Linked DNA regions of Saccharomyces cerevisiae S288C. The gene in region 3 interacts genetically with the main gene of each other region. Each region holds a gene or a part of one and is shown on either strand. Other genes may lie near its edges. The genes, in order: CCR4, RKR1, MOT2 and BUR2.

What was found.
Region 1: mutations in MOT2 (region 3) and CCR4 are lethal when combined (synthetic lethality), as found in Saccharomyces cerevisiae (3 studies listed by BioGRID).
Region 2: of MOT2 (region 3) and RKR1, changing one enhances a phenotype caused by changing the other (phenotypic enhancement), as found in Saccharomyces cerevisiae (3 studies listed by BioGRID, with this or other methods).
Region 4: mutations in MOT2 (region 3) and BUR2 are lethal when combined (synthetic lethality), as found in Saccharomyces cerevisiae (3 studies listed by BioGRID, with this or other methods).

What each region holds. Positions count from the first base shown.
Region 1 is NC_001133.9:110,301-114,906, forward strand, and holds CCR4 (CCR4-NOT core exoribonuclease subunit CCR4), read right to left. Parts: upstream 3,060-4,606; coding exon 546-3,059; downstream 1-545. Other genes in the region: nucleoside transmembrane transporter FUN26, read right to left, coding at 1-130; ATS1 (Ats1p), read right to left, coding at 3,314-4,315. UniProt on the Saccharomyces cerevisiae protein: Acts as a catalytic component of the CCR4-NOT core complex, which in the nucleus seems to be a general transcription factor, and in the cytoplasm the major mRNA deadenylase involved in mRNA turnover.
Region 2 is NC_001145.3:762,837-770,037, reverse strand, and holds RKR1 (ubiquitin-protein ligase RKR1), read left to right. Parts: upstream 1-1,998; coding exon 1,999-6,687; downstream 6,688-7,201. Other genes in the region: YMR247W-A (uncharacterized protein), read right to left, coding at 612-755. UniProt on the Saccharomyces cerevisiae protein: E3 ubiquitin-protein ligase component of the ribosome quality control complex (RQC), a ribosome-associated complex that mediates ubiquitination and extraction of incompletely synthesized nascent chains for proteasomal degradation.
Region 3 is NC_001137.3:291,394-295,365, forward strand, and holds MOT2 (CCR4-NOT core ubiquitin-protein ligase subunit MOT2), read left to right. Parts: upstream 1-1,656; coding exon 1,657-3,420; downstream 3,421-3,972. Other genes in the region: RGI1 (Rgi1p), read left to right, coding at 673-1,158. UniProt on the Saccharomyces cerevisiae protein: E3 ubiquitin-protein ligase component of the CCR4-NOT core complex, which in the nucleus seems to be a general transcription factor, and in the cytoplasm the major mRNA deadenylase involved in mRNA turnover.
Region 4 is NC_001144.5:587,371-591,093, reverse strand, and holds BUR2 (Bur2p), read right to left. Parts: upstream 1,741-3,723; coding exon 553-1,740; downstream 1-552. Other genes in the region: ADY4 (Ady4p), read left to right, coding at 1-532; YLR225C (uncharacterized protein), read left to right, coding at 2,176-3,399; UCC1 (Ucc1p), read right to left, coding at 3,521-3,723. UniProt on the Saccharomyces cerevisiae protein: Component of the BUR kinase complex involved in transcription regulation.

The DNA.
Region 1 (4,606 bases), on a different chromosome or scaffold from region 3:
GCTCGTTGTTCTCTGATTCATGTTCTTCTCCAGAGCGTGATATCTCCTCTGAATGCGTATCGGCCAGTGCAGGCTCTGGCACCGCAAGGATTGGCTTCTTGATGGTATCAGTGTCCGCACTAGTACTCATTTTTGCAATCTGGTATGCTTTCTTGCGTTTGATGATAAGCTGTCGCCGTAACGTAAATCATTCATCCTTTCCTATGATTTTTTAAGTCAATTTTTTTTTCTTTTTCGGGAAATTAATTCTGTTTTTGGCATTAATAACAACAAGAAGAATTAAGGATTCGTTATAGAATACAAGATTCTTGGTTTGGTTAAATAATTTTGGCTCTCTTAAATATTATAAAAAGATACTTAAGTAAGAAAGAAACAGGACGAAAAAGATACGCAAAAGAGAGAGAGAGAGAGAGAGAAAAAAAAGATGAGAAAAAAAAGTATAACGTGAAGGCTTTATGGGAAGTGCGGTGAGATTGGGATCGTTTCAATTTTATAATGAGGTAGTGTACAGAGAGGAGGGAGGGAGTGGGATGAAAGTGTGCGGTTTATACTTTCTTACTGCCTGTGTTTGTCTTCATAAATTCAAATCTTGCTAACAATGGTATATGGTCACTGGGGAATTTGTCGTTGGGGAACCCGATAAACTTACTCACGTATTCAGGGTCCACTTCACCCAATAGCCCACGCACCCTTAGAGCATGTGTAGAAAACCATATATAGTCGATAACATCTGTGAATGACGGTGTGAAATTGGTGAATGGTAGTTCTCCGATACAATTATAACTTGATTTGAGAGCCAAGTTATGTGAGAAATTTTTCTCCGACATGTAACCGAAATCTCTACCATTTCCCTCTTGATGTATTTGGACACGGCCTGTATTTATCAATTCGTATACGGCGGAGTTGATGTATGAATTGAAGTCACCACAAATGAGCACAGGAAATTTCTTAATGTCCTGTCTAAAATTGTGCGATGTCTCCTCCTTTAGCAGCGTTTCCAGATGATCTAACAGGACACCTACTTGGAATGTCTTGACATCATTAAATTTTGGATCCCAGTGCAAATGCGTGGTGACCGCCCATATGGTGTCGCCACTAGGAATGTGTTGTAGCTTTAAGAACAGTGCAACGTTGTCTTTGTTCATTGCACGGTTTAAATAATCTTCAGTTCTTTGGAACTTCTTGTGTTTCATCCAAGCACCGCTGAAATCCATGGCGTCTTTGGTGATCAACTTGAATTGGTCCCTTTTGAAAAAAATGCAACACCCGTCCACTTTCTTGGAGTCCTTGGAATGCATGGTCTTGGCTCTTGCCTTTGCATGGAAGATGCCTGTATAACCGTGCTTGTCCAATAGGGGCACCCAATACTCTTCAAAAGTCTTAGACTCCACTTCTTGTAAACACAACAGATCACTGTCGTACGAGAGAATCTGCTCCTTTAATTTATTGCGCCTGTAATCCCAACTTAACGCCCACGACGGTGTGTAACGGTACATTTTTGGGGTGGCATAGTGTTGACATAAGGTGTTGTAGGATAAGACGGTGAACGTCCTCTTGGCTAAATCGGTGGCCAGATGCTCAGTGGATTGCTGCAAAGAATCGTACTCCCTCTGTGGTTCCCCATCGGTATTGATTTCGATGAACCTACGTTCATGCGGTAAGGGAATCTCTGGTCTGTTGTCCCTTAGGTAGAAAATCAATCCCGTGACAGATTTTTCTGTAAGGATCTTTAAAAACTGTTTTTCTAAGGGGTTTCCTTCTACACCAAGAAACTGAAGGTTACACAGGTTCCCAAACTCCCATGGTAATGTGGTGACCATGTTATCAAAAAAGTAGAAGTATTTCAATTGGAAACATGAGCCTAGTTCCGCTGGTAGAGATGTTAACCTATTATGCGACAGGTCCAAAACGCGTAGGTTGCTTAGGTTCTTGATCTCCGCTGGCAGTTCCGTGAGGCTATTGCCATTCAAATATAGTCTCGTTAGAAAATCGTACTTGAAGATGTTGGCGCTGATATTGAAGATTTGCAAGTTGGACAAATCTAGCGCGTGCCATAATTGGTCGTCGTATTTCGAGTCCTTGGGCATGACCATTCTGTTTTCAATGTCGTCATCTTCGTCGATGCTGTACTGAGACAGTTTCTTGTGTTGTAAGAGCGCCTGGTTGGCTTCGTCCTTGCCATTAGCAAACAGCTCTATCTTGGGAGTCAATGGTGTAGAAACTGCACTGTTAGTTGCCGTGCCTGAGGGAGTGCTATCTCCCGTAGGTTGTTGTTTCTTTGCTGTCTTGCTGTCGGTGAGAGTGTCGGCCATTTCCATCAAGGCTTGCTTTGTGCAGTCTACCAGTGATTTGGAGGCTTCTGCAATGTGAGATTGCTGGAAATCGGTGGGCTGCAAAGCTGGTGGTGCAGCCTGAGGTCCGGGGCCAAATGGGCCCGGGACCTGCTGCTGTGCCTGTTGCTGCGCTTGTTGCTGAGCTTGCTGAGCCTGTTGTGTAGCCAAATACTTCTTCATAGCGTTTTGTCTAGCATAAATGTTGGGTTGCCCCAGAGATTGTGCGGACACTGCAGCCAGATGCAATTGAAGCTTCCAGATCGGATTGTTTAGTAAAGAAGGGTCATCCAAGTGCGGGTGTAATAAAGGGTTACTGGCGTTCACATTGATGTTCACAGGCGTACCAACGGTAGGAACCATCCCTATAGAATTTACTGCGGCTGTGGAGGCATTCATCATCACCCCGCTTCCACCGCCGTTGTTGTTGTTGTTGTTGTTGTTGTTATTGTTGTTATTGTTGTTATCCATGTTCATATTGAGCATGTTCGCGTTCCCATTAGCCAATTGGTCGAGCAACTGGCGCGAGTTGTTGTTGCTGGAAGTGTGTACATCGCTGTTGTTCATGAGTCCCGGTGGAGGTATCCCGGTGAGCTGGTTCATGTGTAGCTGCTGCTGTAGAGCGTTTGGTGTACCCTTTCCTAGTAGCCCGGCATGCTGCTGTTGCTGCTGTTGCTGTTGCTGCTGCGGGCCCACATTAGGGTAGCCTAGTAAAGAAGGGTCGTTCATTAGCGGTAGTTTGCAGGGATAACGTCAGTCGGAGTTCCCTTGCTGGTGTCCCTTATGCTGTGCCCTTGTGCTTGAGAACCTTCTCTAAGGTGGAAACTTTTTCAAATTTTTTCGTTGTTGGCCCGTTTTTCGCAAGTACGGGCGATAACAAAAGGCCTAAACGGCTACTTTACCTTTGAGATCTACCACGATGAGAATTAATGCTGAATGGACATCTATGTATATGATAGTGGGTATATAGTTACTTATCAGTGCTAGAGCACGATCCACGTGGTGGCACATCCGCCAAACACGCGAGGTTTTCCAGAGTATTGGCCCACGAGCTGCAGTCCAGGCTGGGAGCCCTTTTGCGGGCCGCAGTTGCCATGCTCTCCCCAGCCCCAGCAGTATACATTGTAACAGTGAGACTTGCCTTCTTGATTAGCAGTAGTTAGAATACCGTGCTCACTCCCGGTTGCAACACCGACAATAGGGAAGTCTAGGCGCTCTTGCGGGAAGAGTTGGGAATGTGTGCCCCTACCAAACGACTCTACCGTATTGAGGCGCGCATTCCACAGGTGGATCGAGGTCCACATGCACAGTACCACTAGATTGTGTCTTTTTTGCTGTTGTTTGAGCTCGAACCCAGTGGGCAGGCGACCGGATGCGTGCACTATGCGGCCGCCCTCGTCCACTATGACCATGAAGTCCTTGCCCATGGCCACGTAGTCTACGGCCACAGACCCGGTATCGTACACCAATACGGGCTCTTTCAGTGATCGGGATTTGGGCTCTTGCAATTGACACTTTGTGTTGCTGCCCCAGCCGTATACTCGGGTGCCTTGCACCACCACAAAGTTCTGGAAACATCCGTATACTGCGATGCGCTCATCGTTGGAATTCAATGGCACATGTTGCTGAGTGAACTCGTAGCAACCGCCTCCTCTCTGCCATACACGGCCATCAGCATCCACAATAACTGTCGTGTCCCAGCCGCACGCCACATCCACCACGGGTGCCGGTACTTCCACGGGCCTCCAGTCATGCACCTGCCGCAGTGCTTGCGCACTATCCAGTTCTCCCCGTCTGTTATCTCCACATCCTACCAGATTCCCGTCATTTGTCAGCATCACGCTGTGGTTCCCACCGCACGCTATCTTCCTGACTATTGCTCCATCATCTCCTGGCACAGACCTCTGTGGGGTATCCATATCCTCATCGTGCCCCAGTCCCAGTTGCCTTTGCCCATTAGACCCAAACGCATACACACAACTCATCGATACAAGCCTGTTATAGCCTTTAATGATCACATTCCATCACTTGCGCTTTGGATCTGCCTGCATTATCAAGGCTCAAACGGCTGCGTTACCCCCGTCGCCGCGAAATTTTTCATAATTTTTCACTTTGTAGGATTAAAAGAGATCATGAGCCCATCTCGCAATGCAACACGTAACTTAAATCAGTACTGGCGTGTGCTATAGTGCTCTATATTCGAGTTTGTTGCTACTGGTGGACACCCGACTATCTACAGTAAGGAACGTAAACAAGAAAAAGAGAGAAAATACGCT
Region 2 (7,201 bases), on a different chromosome or scaffold from region 3:
TATACAGTTTTTGGGTTAATTCTTGGCCTTGTGCTATAGCTAGCACGTCGTCGAATCCTAAGACCTTGTTTGAAAAGAATCGTCCAAAATGGGAGAACTGGCGCCAATGAATAAACCAGACGAAGGTATCACGAACATGTGCCAAAGCTTGTACCGGTACCAAATTATGCGAATGTCAGTCAGTAACAATGTCAGACCCTACTATCAACCCAGATGTAGCTCAAGTGGAACCTACTGTTCTCTCAAGCTTTTTAATAGAAACGCTCATAGAATATCATAGAGAGTTCAATAATAGCGGTATCATAGTTTATCTGATAACGTGCAAACTGTCCTGATCATGAAGCGGAGTTGAATGACAGGGTGATGGAATTGATGGCTAGTTGCTTTCGTATGCCTCGGTATAGGCATGCTAATGACACCCTAGGGTGGCTATTAGTATGTTGCAATGCCGAGAGGAGGTTGAATAACAATACCATTACATCAGCCGATAATATAGTGCATTGTATCAGCAAAATTAAGCAGTCAATTTATTTTTTTATCATTTAATGGCGATGGTTGGATAATTGTCTAAGAACAGTATTGAGTATTGCAATAAACCACTAAGGTTAGCCTCACGGCCAAACTATGTTGGTATCACTGTTACTAACAAGGTGGTTGTGTACGTGAAGGCAGATTGGCCTCAGAAGGCTCTTACCATTAAATAACAAGGCCATTATTCCACTCAATAGCTTGGCACTTGCACATTTGTGTGCCATTTACACTGAATGATTCATCTTTTTGATATCATGCAATATAATAATACAGGTGATAGAATGCGAAAAGCACGGGAAATAGGTGACTTTTGAGATAGTTGTTGAATACCATTTCCATAACAATACAATTTGGACAACATTATCTTATACCGAATATACCTTAAGTTTTACTCGAAAATATAGGAATCCATAAAAGGATCGATGATTCTTCATAATAATATTATGGTTTCTCGTTCCACTTTATATGTTGTCACTCATTATCCTATTGCATTATCAAGTCGTGCGTTCCACCCCCATTAAATTTGATGGCAGCTTTTAAATCTTTACCTTTATGCCATATTTCTACGTCGTATATGTAATAAGATGGATGCTAGACTATAGGGGGTAGGTGGTTCCTCTTCCGACATGTAGAGAATGTGGATTTTGATGTAATTGTTGGGATTCCATTGTGATTAAGGCTATAATATTAGGTATGTAGATATACTAGAAGTTCTCCTCGAGGATTTAGGAATCCATAAAAGGGAATCTGCAATTCTACACAATTCTATAAATATTATTATCATCGTTTTATATGTTAATATTCATTGATCCTATTACATTATCAATCCTTGCGTTTCAGCTTCCACTAATTTAGATGACTATTTCTCATCATTTGCGTCATCTTCTAACACCGTATATGATAATATACTAGTAACGTAAATACTAGTTAGTAGATGATAGTTGATTTTTATTCCAACACGACAATCATGAGTAATTACTTGATAGTGGATAGTAAGTTTTGATAGACACTTCCATTTTAAACTGATTTCACTTTTTACAGTGGCTAGAAATTACAATAAGAAATGGGCGTGTGGCGTAGTCGGTAGCGCGCTCCCTTAGCATGGGAGAGGTCTCCGGTTCGATTCCGGACTCGTCCAAATTTTTTGCTACTTTGCAATTAGTGTAACTTCATATTTAAAATTATAGTTAATCAAGAACAGAATATCGTCACAATGCTCTTTAAATGTTACGTACTTCTTACCTCCAGCTTGACTATATACTTGTCAATTCGAGTTAACCCAGATTATGCCCCAACATGGAAAACTGAAAAATATTGATGAAGCGAGGAAAAAAAACGTCATAGGAAAAATTCAAATGTTGCAACTTCAGATGGTTTTCTTCAATATATACAATACTGAAGAAGTCCTTCTTAATAGTTCAAATCTGCTAAGCCATCAAAAAAAGTTCAAGCAATAGTTGGTTCTTAATGTCGTTTGGTGGAATCAATACATTTCAACAGTATAACACAGATTTAGGGCTCGGCCATAATGGTGTTAGAATATCCTTAAACTACTTTGATGGTTTGCCGGATCCAAGTCTTTTAAACTCCTTGTACTCGAACGAGCTGAAACTCATTTTCAAATCTCTTCTGAAAAGAGATGAAACTACAAAAGAAAAAGCTTTAATGGATCTTTCCAATTTGATCAGCGACTTTAACCAGAATGAGTACTTTTTCAATGACATTTTTCTTCTTTGTTGGTCGCAGATATATGCTAAACTGATAATTAGTGATTACAAGGTCATCAGACTGCAATCACATCAAATTACTATAATGCTTGTCAAAAGCCTTCGGAAGAAAATATCGAAGTTTTTAAAGGATTTTATACCTTTGATACTTCTCGGTACATGCGAACTCGATTATAGTGTTTCCAAACCTTCTCTTAATGAATTAACAGAGTGTTTCAACAAAGACCCAGCAAAAATTAACGCCTTATGGGCTGTTTTTCAAGAACAACTATTGAATTTAGTAAAGGAGATTGTTGTAAACGAGAATGAAGATACCATTTCTGATGAACGTTACTCCAGTAAAGAAGAATCTGAGTTTAGATACCACAGAGTTATAGCAAGTGCCGTATTGCTGCTGATTAAGCTTTTTGTTCATAACAAAGACGTCTCAGAACGTAATTCTTCCAGTCTTAAGGTGATTCTTTCTGATGAGTCAATCTGGAAACTACTTAACTTAAAAAATGGGCAAAATACAAATGCCTACGAAACAGTTCTTCGATTGATTGATGTTCTTTATACAAGAGGTTACATGCCTTCCCACAAAAATATAATGAAGTTAGCGGTGAAAAAACTATTGAAATCGTTGACTCATATTACGTCAAAGAATATTCTAAAAGTATGCCCTGTTCTCCCATCAATACTGAACCTTTTAGCTACCTTGGATGACTATGAAGATGGGACAATATGGTCATACGATAAATCTTCTAAAGAAAAAGTACTCAAATTTTTATCGGTTTCCCGTACTTCACCATCGCCAGGATTTTTCAATGCTGTGTTTGCATTGTACAGCTCGACTAAAAGACACAGTTTTCTTGATTATTATCTTGAATGGCTTCCATTTTGGCAAAAATCGGTGCAAAGACTGAATGAAAAGGGCTTTTCTGCGAGAAACAGCGCTGAGGTTCTTAATGAGTTTTGGACAAATTTTTTGAAGTTCGCTGAGGATTCATCAGAAGAAAGAGTGAAAAAAATGGTGGAAAGTGAGATTTTTAACTCTCTGTCTTGCGGGAAATCTTTATCTGAGTACACAAAACTGAACCAGACTCTTAGTGGCGTCTTTCCACCCGATAAATGGGAGAGAGAGATTGAAGATTACTTCACTTCAGACGAAGACATAAGAAAAATAAAGGTGAGCTTTGAGAAGAATCTTTTTGCTTTATTGGTTACTTCTCCTAATAACGAATCCGCAATTAGTCGTTTATTCGATTTTTTTGTGCAATTAATCGAAACAGATCCCTCAAATGTTTTCAACAAATACGACGGTGTATATGATGCTCTCAATTACTTTTTAGATTCAGATATGATTTTCTTGAATGGGAAGATAGGGAAATTTATAAACGAAATTCCAACGTTGGTCCAAGAATCAACATATCAAAACTTTGCTGGTATCATGGCACAGTACTCAAACTCCAAATTTTTCAAAATGAATACTGACGCGATTACTTCGTTGGAAGACTTTTTTATCGTTGCGCTTTCTTTTAACTTACCAAAGACAATAATTTTAGCCACAATGAATGAGTTGGACAATGATATTTATCAACAATTAATGAAATCAGATTCCCTAGAATTAGAATTGTACATTGAAGACTTTATGAAAAATTATAAGTTTGACGACAGTGGGGAAATATTTAAAGGTAATAATAAATTTTTAAATCAAAGGACTATCACCACACTTTACCGAAGCGCAGTTGCCAATGGCCAAGTTGAACAATTTTGTGCTGTTTTGTCTAAATTAGATGAAACTTTTTTTTCAACGTTATTGCTGAATACCGATTTTCTTTCTTGTGCATTGTATGAAGTTTCAGAAGACACTAATGAGAAACTATTCAAGTTGTCATTACAGTTGGCTAAAGGGAATTCTGAAATCGCTAATAAGTTGGCCCAAGTGATTTTGCAACATGCTCAGGTTTATTTCAGCCCCGGGGCAAAAGAAAAATATGTCACACACGCCGTGGAGCTAATTAATGGCTGCAACGATACTTCTCAGATTTTTTTTCCCGCTAACGCAATCGAAGTTTTTGCCAGATATATGCCAGCAATTGATTATAGGTCATCCTTAGTGAGCAGCTTAAGTACTAACACGCATTTGCTCCTTACAGATGATAAGCCTATCAATTTAAAAAATATGCAAAAGCTCATCAGGTATGCTCTATTCTTAGATGCCCTACTTGATGCTCTTCCAGAGCGCGTTAATAACCATATTGTTGCATTTATAACTGTAGTTTCTGAGCTCGTCACTGATTATAATTGCCTTTCAGAGGAACCAAATGATCTTTACTATGATTTTGGGCATACCTTTTTCAAACATGGCAAAGTAAATTTGAACTTTTCTGATATTGTTGGAAACGTTATTCAGCCTGCTAATGGTGGTGATGCTATGCTTACTTTTGATATTGCTGAAAGTAATTCTGTCTACTTTTTTTATTATTCAAGAGTATTATATAAGGTTCTATTGAACAGCATTGATACTGTTTCATCCACCACATTAAATGGGCTATTAGCATCGGTTGAAAGTTTTGTCACGAAAACTGTGAGGGATCAAAAATCTACTGATAAAGATTATCTCCTATGTGCTATATTACTATTGATGTTTAACAGGTCCAACTCAAAAGATGAGATAACGAAATTAAGGACATTGCTGGCATCTCAATTGATTGGGATTAGAGAAGTAGAACTTGTCGATCAAGAATTCAAGTCGTTAGCTCTTTTAAATAATCTGCTGGATATCCCACAGGCAGATAAACAGTTTGTTCCTATAGCACCGCAGAGACTGAACATGATATTCCGTTCAATACTAAAATGGTTGGATAGTGATCTTGCCTACGAGCCTAGCTTTAGCACCGTTAGATTGTTACTACTAGATTTTTTCACCAAACTGATGAGGTTTGAAGGAGTCAGAGATATGGGCATAACAGCTTTTGAACTTTCGGAAAGGTTGCTGGCAGACTCTCTATCGATGTGTCAAATTGATGACACTTTATATTTGTTAGAACTTCGCTCTTCCTGTTTGAACTTATATGAAACATTGTCGCAAGGCGTTTCCAAAAATGGCGAGGAAATCTCAGAATATGGTGATGAAATTCAAGAAAATTTGATTGAACTGATGTTTCTCAACTTTAATCAAGAAAGAAATAACCAAGTATCCACACTCTTCTACCAGAAATTGTACAAGGTCATTTCCTCAATGGAACTCAAAAAGTTAGAATCTCAATACAAAAGAATATTCGAGGTTGTATTGAATGATAAGGATATCGGTAGTAATATTAATCAATCAAGATTATTAACTACTTTGTTGGGTTCTTTGGTGGTAAAAACACAGCAGGATATTATAATTGAGTATGAACTGAGGATTCAAAAACAAACTGGCTCAGACGTAGATGGTAGTGCATCTGATAATGATGTAAACTCAAAATTTAAACTACCTCAAAAATTATTACAAAAAGTTACTGATGAGGTGCCAAAAGAATACCTTGAATACGAGAATAAAAATTCATTTATTAAATATCTATGGTATTGGCACTTGATACTGATGTACTTCAAAGATACGTCTTATAATATGAGACAAATATTTATTGAACAATTAAAGGAAGCTGGTTTAATCAATAGAATGTTTGATTTCATAACAGATCAAATAGATTTAAGAGATACTGAGTTTTGGAAACAGGTCGACACCAAGGAAATTTCGGAATACAACATTGTCGGCAATAATTTCTCTCCTTATAAAGAAGACATATTTGAAGAATGTAAAAAACTTTTGGGCCATACACTTTATCAGTTGTTTAACAACGTCGGTTGTCTAACGAGTATTTGGTGGTTAAATATAAAAGATAGGACATTACAAAATGATATTGAAAAGTTTGTCTCAGAGTTCATCTCCCCAATTTTGATCAAAAATGAATTTGACGATATCAATTCTAAGATGGACCGCCTGACTTCTAATGATGATGCTTTGACTATTAAATTAAATAATATTACTAATGAAGTGAAGGCAAGCTATTTGATTGACGACCAAAAGTTGGAGATTTCCTTCAAACTACCAAAAAACTACCCTTTAACAAATATCCAAGTTAATGGCGTCTCTAGAGTTGGTATAAGTGAACAAAAATGGAAACAATGGATAATGTCTACACAACATGTAATTACAGGCATGAATGGATCCGTTTTGGATTCGTTGGAGTTGTTTACTAAAAATGTGCACTTACAATTTTCTGGTTTCGAGGAATGTGCCATATGTTACTCTATACTACATGCCGTGGATAGGAAACTACCTTCGAAGACATGTCCGACTTGTAAAAATAAGTTCCACGGAGCATGTCTTTACAAGTGGTTTCGATCATCGGGTAACAATACATGTCCATTATGCCGTAGTGAAATTCCATTTAGAAGGTAGACTATCGCATATAAATTTCATATAAATGTACTACATTTTTTAAACAAAGTTCCTTTTATTATTGTGCTCTCTTACAAATTATACAATCCAGCCCTATACCTTGCCAATCCAGCCCATCACCCGGATATTCTGGAAATTTTTTCTCTTCAGGATTTTTTCAGGATAAAAATCGAACTTGAAAGAAGAATGGTTTTTAGTTCAGGCCTTGTTTTCAGTTTTTAGCTACTAAAAGAGGGATAACCATTGATGAAATTCTATTGAATGTCCCCAATTTTCGGAAAAGGACTGCACCGAAATATTTCAATCAAAATCATTTATCGTTTTGTTTAGCTATTTTTTTCTCAAATTATCACTCTTTTCTTCCTTTTTCATTCTCTCAATTGTTCTTTTTATTTGAGGAAATTTGATTGTATTGCATATACAACTATGCGATGCACTTTGTTCATTTTAACTTTGGATATATGTGCCTTGCTATGAACGCGTTCATTTTTAAGTGACCGGACCCTAAAATATT
Region 3 (3,972 bases):
GTATGTTGACTACATTGTAAAGTTGCACTTTCACTCAACTCATGAAATTGATGACATTAATCCTACGTGACTTACACATATGCCATGAACGAAGAAGGTGGCACCAAAAATCCAGCGTTTCCGATATACACGCAGTCAAATGTTCAGACTAAACTTTGGTATTCTGACAACGTGTTGTCATACCTGTTACGAGCCAGAAACGTATTTCTTTTTGGGTGATACAATCTCCAGATGACTGCTTTTTTTTTTTTTACCCCAGATTCAGGGGCCGAAGGAACGGAAATGCGGTGTGGCGAGATTGCGGATGTGCTAAAAAATAATATCCTCGAGGCAACCAGCATAATGTGGACGGCTCTCGGCAATTGACTTCCATAACAAATGCATCCTGTAATCAGGGGTATTATAAGTTACTGTATGGTTAATTAAATATAGAATGAAAGGGGCAGCGTTCTTAAGGGGTATTGCTGGGTGGAAAAATACAAGTGTCTTTACTTGATTGTGTGCACATATATAAGGCAAAAGATTTCTAGCGTATATTTGAATCTTTTGTTCTTCCACGTTCAAATTTCTTTGGTCAAAACATTTCATAAAGGGACAAGTTCTGCATTGTATTCTAATAATTGCCCATAGAACATATAAATTAGGTATCGACTGTTTTCGTCTCCACTTTAAATGACAAAGAAGGATAAGAAGGAAGTAAAAGTTCAAACGGTTACCACGGAGGATGGTGAAACCGTGAAAGTTTTTGAAGACCTGCAGGGTTTTGAAACTTTCATTGCCAATGAAACTGAAGATGATGATTTCGATCATTTGCACTGTAAATTAAATTACTACCCACCATTTGTGCTACACGAGTCGCACGAGGACCCTGAAAAAATTAGTGATGCTGCAAATTCTCATTCTAAGAAGTTCGTGCGTCACCTGCACCAGCATATTGAAAAGCATCTTTTGAAAGATATTAAGCAAGCCGTTAGGAAACCTGAGCTTAAATTTCACGAAAAATCGAAGGAAGAGACATTTGATAAAATCACCTGGCATTACGGTGAGGAAACTGAATACCATGGTAGACCTTTCAAGATAGACGTTCAAGTAGTTTGCACACATGAAGATGCTATGGTATTTGTCGATTACAAAACACATCCTGTAGGCGCAAATTAAAGGTTGTGTCATAGAGAATGTGTTAGTACTGAATCCTAACCTCCCAAATTCATAAGTAGTTTTATGTACCTTTAATGATTTACGATTAGCAACTTTTTGAATTTTTTTTATTGAAATGTTGAGCCCGAAGACGTGAAACGCTATAAAGTAGTATCACTGTTACGCCGCGAAACCTGATAATGTATTGTTAAACTACTACCTGGTCGATGATTATATCGACGCTTCTAAAATGAATGCTATTACCCGAACTTCCACTTGATTGCCGTCTCTTCCCGGGTAACATTGTAAGTGTGAATATGATTTTTTTTTTTGCTTTCTCTTTTCAAAATTTCCGAAAAGCATATCAAGACGTGTACTACATACAGTAAAAGCCCTCCTAGGGTTTTCAGTAGTGGTTCGAATAGTATAGATTACTGCTTTTGTTACTCTGCAACAATCCCAAAACTTAATAAAAAGTACAAAAGACCAAATAAAAGTATCGTATATAATCCAGTCATAATGATGAATCCACACGTTCAAGAAAATTTGCAAGCAATCCACAACGCCTTAAGCAATTTTGATACGTCATTTTTATCGGAGGATGAAGAAGATTATTGCCCTCTTTGTATTGAACCAATGGATATTACTGATAAAAATTTTTTTCCTTGTCCCTGTGGTTATCAAATTTGTCAATTTTGCTACAATAATATCAGACAAAATCCAGAATTAAATGGCCGTTGCCCAGCATGTCGTCGTAAATATGATGACGAGAACGTCAGATACGTCACATTATCTCCGGAGGAGTTAAAAATGGAGAGAGCCAAGCTCGCTAGGAAGGAGAAAGAAAGAAAGCATAGAGAAAAAGAACGTAAAGAGAATGAATATACGAATAGGAAACATTTATCTGGTACCAGAGTTATCCAAAAGAATTTAGTGTACGTTGTTGGCATCAATCCTCCTGTTCCATACGAGGAAGTTGCGCCCACTCTGAAATCTGAAAAATATTTTGGCCAATATGGTAAGATAAATAAGATTGTGGTTAATAGAAAAACACCCCATTCTAACAACACAACCAGCGAGCATTATCACCATCATTCACCAGGATATGGCGTTTACATAACCTTCGGATCCAAGGACGATGCTGCAAGATGTATAGCTCAGGTAGACGGGACGTATATGGATGGCCGCCTGATCAAAGCTGCCTACGGTACTACTAAATACTGTTCTTCTTATTTAAGAGGATTGCCATGCCCAAATCCCAACTGTATGTTTTTGCATGAACCTGGTGAAGAAGCTGATTCTTTTAATAAAAGAGAACTCCACAATAAACAACAAGCGCAACAGCAAAGTGGCGGAACTGCATTCACTAGATCTGGAATACACAACAATATATCTACCAGTACCGCTGGTTCAAATACCAATTTACTAAGTGAAAATTTCACAGGCACACCTTCACCGGCGGCGATGAGGGCTCAGTTACATCATGACAGCCATACAAACGCTGGAACACCGGTATTAACACCTGCTCCGGTCCCTGCAGGGTCAAATCCTTGGGGAGTTACTCAATCAGCAACACCTGTAACCTCTATCAATCTCTCTAAAAACAGCAGCTCCATAAACTTGCCAACATTAAATGATTCTCTGGGCCATCATACTACCCCCACAACAGAGAATACCATCACAAGTACGACAACTACTACCAATACCAATGCTACAAGTCACTCCCATGGTAGCAAGAAGAAGCAATCTCTTGCTGCAGAGGAATACAAAGATCCTTATGACGCACTAGGGAATGCTGTTGACTTTTTGGATGCAAGACTACATTCTCTATCAAATTATCAGAAGCGCCCTATATCTATCAAATCCAATATTATTGACGAAGAAACTTATAAAAAGTATCCGTCTTTGTTTTCTTGGGACAAGATTGAGGCCTCAAAGAAAAGTGACAATACATTAGCCAACAAACTTGTGGAGATCCTGGCTATAAAGCCAATAGACTACACTGCTTCTGTCGTTCAATTCTTGCAGAGTGTCAATGTTGGTGTAAATGACAATATTACAATCACAGATAATACGAAAACTCCCACCCAACCAATAAGACTGCAAACCGTCTCACAGCAAATCCAACCACCATTAAACGTCAGTACCCCTCCACCGGGTATCTTTGGTCCACAACATAAGGTTCCTATTCAGCAGCAACAAATGGGTGATACAAGCTCAAGAAATTCCTCTGATTTACTAAATCAACTAATCAACGGAAGGAAAATTATCGCCGGTAATTAATCCGACTCTAAATATTTTTCTTGTTTGCATTAACCATAATTTTATCTATTTTTATTTCTCATGAATATATAATCTCTCCGTTTATAACGAAATGCAAGAAAAAAAAATCTCACCCATTTTTTTAAACCTTTGACGTGGAAAGGTATCTGGGAAAGGTATCTGGCTAATGAATAATGCCATAGCATATACCAGTATAGTCTATTTACTCGTTACAACGTATGAAAGCGTCAGCGCTGCAAGAATGACTAATTCATAGAAAATAATCATCATGATATATATCATAATGCACGGAACCTGCTTCGCTAATTTTTTCACTTAAATCACATTTTTTCAACGAAATCTCTTGCGCAGTTGGTTGGAATTCTTATCCGAATGACTCAGTCTACATCAAAAAACTGTGGCCGAATGGTGGTAATTGATGACTCTTCTATTTTTTTTTTTCATATAAAGAGCTTGCGCGCGTGTTGTTGTTCGCTATCCATTTCCATTAGGAACATTTTTGGATATTATTTTTCAGACCCGTAATATACTTAACACATATACCACTAAAGG
Region 4 (3,723 bases), on a different chromosome or scaffold from region 3:
TATATGCTGCTTGAATAAAATTCTGGAAGGCTTATTACTTTCATCAGGTGTTCAATTTAAAGTTATCCAGTTTTTTTATGTATTAAAACTATACTATATGCAAGATAATGAATACACATTCGAAGCATCATCTGAAATGGATAAATTGACCATAGAATGCTTATGTATCATCGAAAATATTATTGATGCTTGTGACAATCCTGATGAAGTAACTGACTACCAACTACCTAAGGTACTGTTGACTGCTATGGAGGGGAAATTACTTGTTGCTGAAAAAATATCCGAAGATAATGACTGTTCAGAATCTCTGGACGATTATCATCCCCGAACTTACCAATTCAGACATCCCAGAATAATAATAGACAAGATGAAAACAAAATTGAAGCAGAAACTGCGCTTTGACTCACCTAAAGATCCAGAAACAGATGATCATTGGATTGAGTATTGGAAATATTGCTATCAGGATAACATAGGGAACTTGCCGGACATTTTGTCACGTATATATCAAACCTTTACTGATCCCTCCAATTAAACATAACTTGTACTCTATTTTTATATTTTAGGTTTTTTGGCATCTGGGGTTCTTATAGGATCTTTAGCCTTTCTCTTCATACTTTCTTGTTTAGCCTTATCTAGTAAATCTTTAACCCTTGTTTCAATATGATTCAAAAACTCTTCCTTCACCTCACCGGATTTAATCAACTCGTAGTTAAACGGATCAGAGATTTCTGAAACTTCATTTTCCACATCGCCACTTTCGTCAATCACCGAATCAATCATGCTTGAATCAATTTGTAATTTAGCACCTTTATTACTTTTTAAGTTGAAAAAATTCTCTTCCAGTAACTTGTAATCGGTAAAGATATTGGCAAAATTTTCCGGCGTTACTTCGATAGGGAATCTATCCTTGAAGAAGTTTTTCGGATATCTGAAATCTTTGTCTACAAGCTTTTTATACTCTAAACCACAGTATATGAGAGATAGTACAATGAACGTATAACCGTCGCACAATAAAGAAACTGGCTGGGTGACAGCTTGGACCATAAAATTTCTTGATTCTTGAAGAATTTTTGGAAAAGCTTTTTTAAAGTTTTCTGGCAGATTGTGATCCCTGTTGAATCTATAATAGCCACTGAACACTTCTTCAATCAATTCTTTTGGATTACTGATATTTAAGTCAAAGCCAAATAAACATAGTATTTTTTTTTCATTCGTCACTAACTTATCTCTAAATTCCCATTTAAGTTTATCAATATTTGTTCGACTTTTTAAAGACGGTATATTTTGCATCAAAAACTCACAAGTCGCCTTAATATAGGCCTCTATAGGCCTATTATTCTCCATTGTTTTGCAAGCGGTGACCAGAATTCCCTGTGATATATGAATACATTCAGTTATGGCTGTAGGTATTCCATATATGAACCAATACCTGTAAAATAGAATGCATGATGCCGTATAGGTGTGATCAAAAAGATTTAATTTTTTTTTAAGTGTGTAAAAGTACATTAAGCATTTTTCCATATTTTTTTTTATTTCCACTGCTATCGGTCCATTAGTGCCTATCTTTTCAATAATATCTTTGCACTCAAAAACCCACTGGTTTTCTGGTGTTTCTATCAAATCCGGCCATAGGGTCCTTGCGTTAAACCCACTCGATGCTGGTGGTGGTGATGCATTGCTCGTTGGTTTTGGTACAGCTTGAAATTTTTTCACGTCACCACTTGAAGATGTAGCAGACATTATCTTACTGTAATATATTTTAAACGAAAATACTACGGCCTCCTTCAATATGTGTATATAATTACCAATCAAAATAGCTACTTGCTTTCTAACAGAAATAGTGATACTTTTTAATCACTTTTCTTTTTTTACTGAACAGTGAAAAATAGAAGTCACAATGAGACCTAGGTCAAAAAGCCATAATGAATAGGGTTTGCAATAAAAAAGCTTTAAACGATAGGTCTGTTAAAGAGGATAAATAGGTTTATCATGTATCATTTGGTTTTTTGGGATAGGGCTTGGCAAAAACCATAACAGGGGAATGAGATTTTATATATAAATAGACAAGATAGATACTAAAATAGTGACGGATTCTCTCTAAATATTCGAGAAATTTTCAAAATTTTAGGGCAACGAACAGTTTAATTAACATAAAAATCATAGAGCAAAGAAAAAATGGCGGTTGCGATCAAAAAGGAGAAGACGAAATTTGCCCCCGTTAAGGAAGTTTTATCCGAGAAGGATCATGCTAATTATACTAAATTTCAGGATACATCGAAACTAGAATGGTTTTGCAGGACGTCAAATCACAAAAAGTTCAAGTCACATAGTTTATTAAAAGCAGTAAGAAATCCAACGGAAACAAGAATAGAGACACAAACTCTGTATTTTACGGATCTCACCAACGGCAAATGTGGATTAATTCAACTATTATATTCCAGTGTTATGGGCGGTATATACAAAGGTTTTCAGTTAAATTTCAAAATATTTAAAGCCAGCAGTGAGGAAAACTCTGAAGAAGACATTGATATATGGGAAAGCTTTAAAATTGATAATATCAAAGATTTTGATACGTTAAAAGTTGAATCGGACAATGTTACGTTTCACTTCGTACCTTTGGAAAATTCTTCCTCCAGTGGATTTGCTCAATTATTAATTAAGATAGATATTCCGAAGGGAAGTACAAGCTGTTTACTAAAAGATTTGAAGGTTGACATTACCGTAAATTTACAAGAAGGATTCATAATAAACCCGGACGGTTCCAATTATTACCTTGACAAGAGCATCAGCTTGGAAGAGTTAGCAAAAAGAGACTCTTCTAGTACGTCCAGAAAAATGATAAGACATGTTTTTGTTCCTAGAGGTTTTTGCAATGGTACCATCTCATACAAGAAAAACGATAAACCTGTGAAGCTGGACTTGAAGGACACGCCTATGTTGTATCTGGATGCTGTCCAGGGGCTAATACCCAATAAGGCGGCTAGTAAATGGAATTTTCTTTGTTTCAATGGTGAGAAGCGTTCGATGATGTGTATTGAATTCACCACAACAAAAGAATATGGCAGCACTACAGTGACTATATGGGCGGTTAGTGATAAGGACAAAATTTTGGAGGTCGGGTCAAGTGTAAATGATCATGCTGTTAAATTTCCATCTACAAAAGAGGATAAGCAAAATGGTTGGAAATATCCTACATCCATTTCATTTCCGCGTGGTTTTGAAGAATCTAATTTAAGATTAGTCAATAGGTACGATATAATGAGTGAGCTGCCCGCTTTCATTAGGTCTATTGCTGAAAATCTGGCAAACATGAAGCCATTCATTTACCAATTCTGCCAGAAGTCTAAATTCGATGACGATGAAGGAGTTTCCATCATTGAAAGTACATTTATCAATTGAAAAAAATGAAATTTGACTATACATATTTTCATCATTGCAAGAATATTATATCCATTTATAAGTAGGTAGGTGCATAGACGTATATACACATATATTATAGACTAATTGATAAATTTTTTTTTCATCTTCGAAGATAAGGGGTATTCCAGTTGGGCAATGCTATTTCTTGACCAAGATCTTGCTTTTGTTCCGGATGCTTGTAGACGAAAATTCTTATCAATTTGGATGGCTTGTAAGGTAAACCGTGCCCAATTATCGTGTCTCTAGGAAATGAAATTTTCTCTTCAGATTGTAAGCAGGCCAAACTCCATGCAAACTGGTATG